2 linked regions of the Saccharomyces cerevisiae S288C genome follow. The protein of the gene in region 2 purifies or fractionates together with the protein of the main gene of each other region. This does not show direct contact. Each region holds a gene or a part of one and is shown on either strand. Other genes may lie near its edges.

What was found. Proteins that work in one complex are often made in the same cells at the same time.
Region 1: the proteins of ENP1 (region 2) and DIM1 purify together in Saccharomyces cerevisiae (affinity purification with mass spectrometry; 11 studies listed by BioGRID, with this or other methods). This does not show direct contact.

What each region holds. Positions count from the first base shown.
Region 1 is NC_001148.4:37,494-40,577, forward strand, and holds DIM1 (putative dimethyladenosine transferase), read left to right. Parts: upstream 1-1,627; coding exon 1,628-2,584; downstream 2,585-3,084. Other genes in the region: PLC1 (phosphatidylinositol phospholipase C), read left to right, coding at 1-352; ACM1 (Acm1p), read left to right, coding at 676-1,305. UniProt on the Saccharomyces cerevisiae protein: Specifically dimethylates two adjacent adenosines in the loop of a conserved hairpin near the 3'-end of 18S rRNA in the 40S particle.
Region 2 is NC_001134.8:711,950-716,601, reverse strand, and holds ENP1 (snoRNA-binding rRNA-processing protein ENP1), read left to right. Parts: upstream 1-2,146; coding exon 2,147-3,598; downstream 3,599-4,652. Other genes in the region: HIS7 (imidazoleglycerol-phosphate synthase), read left to right, coding at 137-1,795; RRT2 (diphthamide synthase), read right to left, coding at 3,848-4,652. UniProt on the Saccharomyces cerevisiae protein: Required for normal export of the pre-40S particles from the nucleus to the cytoplasm.

The sequences.
Region 1 (3,084 bases), on a different chromosome or scaffold from region 2:
AAGCAGAAATAACACCAATTCCTTTGTTAAAGTGGAGTTTCATACCGATGACGAGCCGACAATGCCCATCTCAATCGATAAGGGTACAAGGATTTCTGCCACTGAAGCATCCACTAAGAGTTCTCAAGGGAATGGATTCAACCCAATATGGGATGCTGAAGTTTCTATCACATTGAAAGATACAGACCTCACATTTATAAAATTCATGGTTATCTCTGAAGAGACCCAGATTGCATCTGTTTGCCTTAAGCTGAACTATTTGAGGATGGGATATCGTCACATTCCGTTGTTTAACATGGAGGGGGAACAATACATATTTTGCACTTTATTTATTCATACACAAATTTTATAGGCGATCTTTTTCCGGCCAAATACACATATTCATAAATACGTACATATACCTACTTGCATATACCAACATGATTACCTAGAATGGATATATCAAATGGGACGACGAAGTACCACGACAATACACAATAACAACTTCTGTTTTTCGCTGATTGCCTTCTCTTCAGCAGAAAGTTGATGCATATTTCGCGTAGCGCGTTGACGCGTCTTCTTTCTGAAGTTTTGTGCTTTTGTTATCATACTATATAAAGTAAAAAGAAAGGAGAACATATTAAGCATTACTGAATTAGGATCCTTTGGAAGAAATAAAGTAAGAGACACTGAAAGATGATATCACCATCAAAAAAGAGAACCATTTTATCAAGCAAGAATATAAACCAAAAACCACGAGCAGTGGTAAAAGGCAATGAACTTCGTTCACCATCAAAGAGAAGGTCACAAATAGACACAGACTATGCACTAAGGCGAAGTCCAATAAAGACAATCCAAATTTCTAAAGCTGCACAATTTATGCTGTATGAGGAAACGGCTGAAGAAAGAAACATAGCTGTCCACAGACATAATGAAATATACAATAATAACAATTCTGTGAGCAATGAGAATAATCCTTCCCAAGTAAAAGAAAACCTTTCACCCGCTAAAATTTGCCCTTATGAAAGAGCATTTTTAAGGGAAGGAGGAAGAATTGCATTGAAGGACTTAAGTGTTGACGAATTCAAAGGTTACATACAGGATCCTCTCACCGATGAGACTATACCACTGACGTTGCCACTGGGTGATAAAAAAATCAGCCTACCCAGTTTTATAACGCCGCCAAGAAATTCGAAGATATCTATTTTCTTCACTAGTAAACACCAAGGACAGAACCCAGAGACAAAGATATCCCGTTCTACCGATGACGTCAGTGAAAAAAAAGTAGTGAGAAAACTGTCCTTCCACGTCTATGAAGATGAGTAAATAATGTACACAGTTAGCGTCTAATAATTAATTAACGATACCAATTTAATTCATTCACGTATTCCTCACCTCGTGTGTAAATTACTAACAGAGTAGTAATAATAATAAGAATCAATAATAATAATAAATCCATCCTTGTGTATTACCCGGGTTAGAGGGTAGAAAAATTTTTGAAAATCGCGATGAGCTGAAAATTGAAAATATTTGGTTATAACATAAGATCGATAAATTAGGAACAGTGCATTATACAGTGGACTCATTCGGTTAGAAGCTTTAGACGTCGTACCTTTTATATCGATACAAATAAAAATAAAATTATACCATGGGAAAGGCTGCGAAAAAGAAGTACTCCGGAGCAACTTCGTCCAAACAAGTCTCTGCCGAGAAACATTTGAGTTCAGTATTTAAATTCAACACAGATCTAGGTCAGCATATTTTGAAAAATCCTTTGGTGGCGCAAGGTATTGTTGATAAGGCACAGATTAGACCCTCAGATGTTGTTTTGGAGGTTGGTCCTGGTACAGGTAACCTAACTGTAAGGATCCTCGAACAAGCAAAAAACGTAGTGGCAGTAGAAATGGATCCCAGAATGGCTGCAGAATTAACTAAGAGGGTACGTGGCACACCTGTGGAGAAAAAGTTAGAAATCATGCTTGGAGATTTTATGAAGACTGAATTACCATACTTTGATATCTGTATTAGTAACACTCCTTACCAGATCTCATCGCCTCTGGTTTTCAAATTAATTAACCAACCAAGACCACCAAGAGTATCTATTCTTATGTTTCAAAGAGAGTTTGCTTTAAGATTACTGGCAAGACCAGGTGACTCATTATACTGTAGATTATCCGCCAATGTACAAATGTGGGCTAATGTTACACACATCATGAAAGTGGGTAAGAATAACTTCAGACCGCCACCACAAGTGGAATCCAGCGTTGTTAGACTAGAGATTAAAAATCCAAGACCGCAAGTGGATTACAACGAATGGGATGGTTTGTTGAGAATCGTCTTTGTGAGGAAAAACAGAACGATTTCAGCTGGCTTCAAATCGACCACCGTGATGGACATTCTGGAGAAGAATTATAAGACATTTTTGGCGATGAACAACGAAATGGTGGATGATACAAAGGGTTCTATGCACGATGTCGTCAAGGAAAAGATTGACACAGTTCTGAAGGAGACCGACTTAGGCGACAAAAGAGCGGGTAAATGTGATCAAAATGATTTCCTAAGGCTATTATATGCTTTTCACCAGGTTGGTATCCATTTTTCATGAGCTCTCTTATCAATTATGTAAGTGCTTGTATACTATTTACCTAAGATAAGAAAAAAAAAAGCAATTCAAAATTAAGCTTATCTTGACAGCGGGGCTGGTTTGTTTCTAGAAGACAAAAAGTGGGGAATCATTTTTACGTAACTCCCCCTGATAAGAAGGACTCACATCCTTATAGGTACGATAAAGAATGGTTGTATCTTTCCTATTTTTCGAAATCGTTATCTTATATAGTTGAACTACTACGGTTAAAAAGCTTAAGCCTCAGCCCTCTTAGTCAAACTTCTTTTTTGAAGGCACCAGGGTGCATAAAAGTGCGTCTATTGTTTCCCAGTGGAACTCTGTTGAGATAGCGATGTTTGTTTTTTTTTCACTTAACGGCAACCAATACCGATAGCGACGTCGCTGGCAGTGTAGAGTGGCCGTACGGCGTCGCTAGATGGCACGGCACTGATTGCGGCGGGAGTCGCTAGGCGGTGATGCATTTCCGCACAGGGACCAGA
Region 2 (4,652 bases):
CATCGAAACATACATAAGTTGATATTCCTTTGATATCGACGACTACTCAATCAGGTTTTAAAAGAAAAGAGGCAGCTATTGAAGTAGCAGTATCCAGTTTAGGTTTTTTAATTATTTACAAGTAAAGAAAAAGAGAATGCCGGTCGTTCACGTGATTGACGTTGAAAGTGGTAACCTACAGTCACTAACCAATGCAATTGAGCATTTAGGTTACGAAGTACAACTGGTGAAATCACCAAAGGATTTTAACATATCAGGCACGTCAAGATTGATTTTGCCTGGTGTCGGAAATTATGGCCATTTCGTCGACAATTTATTTAATAGAGGATTCGAAAAGCCGATAAGAGAATACATTGAATCTGGAAAACCAATAATGGGAATTTGCGTCGGGCTACAAGCGCTCTTTGCCGGTTCCGTGGAAAGCCCTAAGAGTACGGGTCTGAACTACATTGATTTTAAGTTGTCCAGGTTCGATGATTCAGAAAAGCCAGTACCAGAAATAGGTTGGAATTCTTGCATTCCCTCGGAAAACCTATTCTTTGGATTGGATCCATACAAGAGGTACTATTTCGTCCATTCTTTTGCTGCCATTCTGAATTCAGAAAAGAAAAAAAACCTAGAAAATGACGGTTGGAAAATTGCAAAAGCTAAGTACGGTTCAGAGGAATTTATTGCGGCAGTCAACAAGAATAATATATTCGCTACTCAGTTCCATCCTGAAAAATCAGGTAAAGCTGGTTTGAACGTCATTGAGAATTTTTTGAAGCAACAAAGTCCTCCGATTCCAAACTATAGTGCGGAAGAGAAGGAACTCTTAATGAATGACTATTCAAATTATGGTCTAACACGCAGAATTATTGCTTGTCTTGATGTACGTACTAATGACCAAGGTGATTTGGTGGTTACTAAAGGTGATCAATACGATGTACGTGAAAAAAGTGATGGTAAAGGTGTTAGAAACCTTGGTAAGCCTGTTCAGTTGGCACAGAAATATTACCAACAGGGTGCGGATGAAGTAACATTTTTGAATATAACTTCTTTTAGAGATTGTCCTTTGAAGGATACTCCGATGCTAGAGGTTCTGAAACAAGCCGCAAAGACAGTCTTTGTTCCATTGACAGTCGGTGGGGGGATCAAGGATATTGTCGATGTTGATGGAACCAAAATACCTGCTTTAGAAGTTGCAAGTCTATACTTCAGATCTGGTGCTGATAAAGTATCGATCGGTACGGATGCAGTCTATGCAGCCGAAAAATACTACGAGTTGGGTAACAGAGGAGATGGAACGTCACCAATAGAGACAATCTCGAAAGCATACGGTGCTCAGGCAGTTGTTATTTCTGTCGACCCTAAGAGAGTATATGTAAATTCACAAGCAGATACGAAGAACAAAGTCTTCGAGACAGAATATCCGGGCCCCAATGGAGAGAAATACTGCTGGTACCAATGTACAATCAAAGGTGGAAGAGAATCTAGAGACCTTGGTGTGTGGGAATTAACAAGGGCATGTGAAGCTCTAGGTGCTGGGGAGATTTTATTGAACTGCATAGACAAGGATGGCTCTAATTCTGGTTATGATCTGGAATTGATAGAACATGTTAAAGATGCGGTCAAGATTCCCGTCATTGCATCCAGTGGCGCCGGTGTACCCGAACATTTCGAAGAGGCCTTCCTAAAGACCCGCGCAGATGCTTGCTTGGGTGCAGGTATGTTCCACAGAGGTGAATTCACTGTTAACGATGTAAAGGAGTATTTACTAGAGCACGGATTAAAGGTTAGAATGGATGAAGAGTAATGTGGTTGGATATGTATACTTTATAATCTTGACTCAGTCTATATACGCAATAATGATAGATGTTAAATCAGACATTTCACAACACAAGAGGATGTACAGCTTGGAGAAATTGTACCAACTTATATGGTTGTATTATTGGTGGTGTCAGTAGGGGAAGAAATAGAACATATTTTTCCACTTTTTCATTTTTTTTTTTTAGCGAGGCATCGGAAATGAAAATTTTTAAAAATCGATGAGCTCCCACTTCTTCAACATTGACGAAAGGAAATATGCACTAAGTTGTTTTAAATCCAAGATTTGTCTCGTTTTAAGACTTACAGATAAAACAATATATTAGAAAGATTAACTATAATGGCCAGAGCATCCTCTACTAAAGCCAGAAAACAGAGGCATGATCCACTTTTAAAGGATTTAGATGCAGCTCAAGGTACCTTGAAAAAAATCAATAAAAAGAAGCTAGCGCAGAACGATGCTGCAAATCACGATGCTGCAAATGAGGAAGATGGATACATAGACTCCAAAGCATCAAGAAAAATTTTGCAGTTGGCCAAGGAACAACAGGATGAAATTGAAGGTGAGGAACTTGCTGAATCAGAAAGAAACAAGCAATTTGAAGCCAGATTCACCACCATGAGCTATGATGATGAAGACGAAGACGAAGACGAAGACGAAGAAGCTTTTGGAGAAGACATCTCCGATTTTGAACCCGAAGGTGATTATAAAGAAGAGGAAGAGATAGTTGAAATCGATGAAGAAGACGCAGCGATGTTTGAGCAATATTTCAAGAAATCAGATGATTTTAACTCTTTAAGTGGTAGCTATAATCTTGCAGACAAGATTATGGCCTCTATCCGAGAAAAGGAAAGTCAAGTTGAAGATATGCAAGATGATGAACCACTTGCTAATGAACAGAATACCTCAAGAGGCAATATTTCATCCGGTTTGAAGAGTGGAGAGGGTGTTGCACTTCCAGAGAAGGTCATCAAAGCATATACTACGGTAGGTAGTATTTTAAAAACTTGGACGCACGGTAAGTTGCCAAAGTTGTTCAAGGTTATCCCATCCTTAAGAAATTGGCAAGATGTCATTTATGTGACCAACCCGGAAGAATGGTCACCACACGTTGTTTACGAAGCAACGAAATTATTTGTATCCAACCTAACTGCTAAAGAATCTCAAAAATTTATTAACCTAATTTTACTTGAACGTTTCCGTGACAATATCGAGACCAGTGAAGACCACTCTTTAAACTATCATATATACCGTGCGGTGAAAAAATCGCTTTATAAACCAAGTGCCTTCTTCAAAGGTTTCCTATTCCCATTGGTTGAAACAGGGTGTAATGTACGTGAAGCGACAATTGCAGGAAGTGTGCTTGCTAAAGTCTCTGTTCCGGCTTTACATTCTTCAGCTGCCTTGAGTTATCTTTTAAGGCTACCTTTCTCTCCACCTACAACTGTTTTTATCAAAATATTGCTCGATAAAAAATATGCTTTACCGTACCAGACGGTGGACGACTGCGTGTATTACTTTATGAGGTTTAGAATTTTGGATGACGGTAGTAATGGGGAAGATGCTACAAGAGTACTCCCAGTGATATGGCACAAGGCTTTCTTAACATTTGCACAACGTTACAAGAACGATATTACCCAGGATCAGAGAGATTTCTTGTTGGAAACTGTTCGTCAAAGAGGCCATAAAGATATCGGTCCTGAGATTAGAAGAGAACTATTGGCAGGAGCCAGCAGGGAGTTTGTTGATCCACAGGAAGCTAATGATGATTTAATGATTGATGTCAATTGATGCTGTAATATCAATTTTTCATCAATTTTATATCGCTCGGTCTTTCCCCCTTTCAACAAAGCTTCTGAATCATGTATAATAAGTAGAAAATATAGAGTAAAAGATTATTGTTCAGGCAAGTTCCTTCCTATCAATTCTTTATGCATAATCTATCGAAATCATCAAAATATGGCCTATATATTAGCCTATATATTAGCCTATATATTAGCCTATATATTAGTCCATATATTGCAGACTGAATTTTTTTTTCTAAACTATCCATGTTTGCAAGGAATTATCATAAAATGAGCATGTTGCGATCAAAGAATTTGACCAGTCGCCACCGTAACACATCGAATCATGGCCCTTCTTCAGATAATGTTGAATTTGAAAATACTCATCGGAATTATCATTCATGGTCACCACCTTGGCACCATTGTACATGCAACAAACTAAAAGCCGATCGGAGCCGTTGTGGTGAGATTGTTCCTGATCAATGGGGGATTCAACAAATCTCCAAACACCGCCACCAAGATCACACGCCAATTTATTAACTGTGGGGACATTTGCACCAGGAAATATGGACTCACCCATCATCCTTAAATCCAGAGAACGAATGTTATCATCATAGGATCCAGTTATTATGGACGTGGGTTTATTATTTCGAAAGTTAGGTTGACTACACTTAATGCTAACAACACCAGCATCATGAATACGATTATTACTCCAAATGAATTCTTTGGAACGTAAGTCGTGGGCCATAATTCTCGAATCATCACCTCCTGTAAATACAACGTCTTGAAAAGGCTGTAGAGATCCAAATTCCGCAGTCCAACACTCGAGTTCATGGGGTTTCAAAAATTGTCCCGATTCAACATGAATGACTTTTTCGGTTGCACCTTGAACTTCGTAATCTATTTTATCTAGTTTTGAGTAAGCCTGCGCGATTGCTGATGCCGTGAACTGTACAGATAGTGTTCTTATATCAATGGTAGCTGCTTCGCCTGCCGTATTTGTTACAAGTAATTTCTTACAATCAAGTGGGGAAAAATGGCACGAGGCAATGAGAACATCT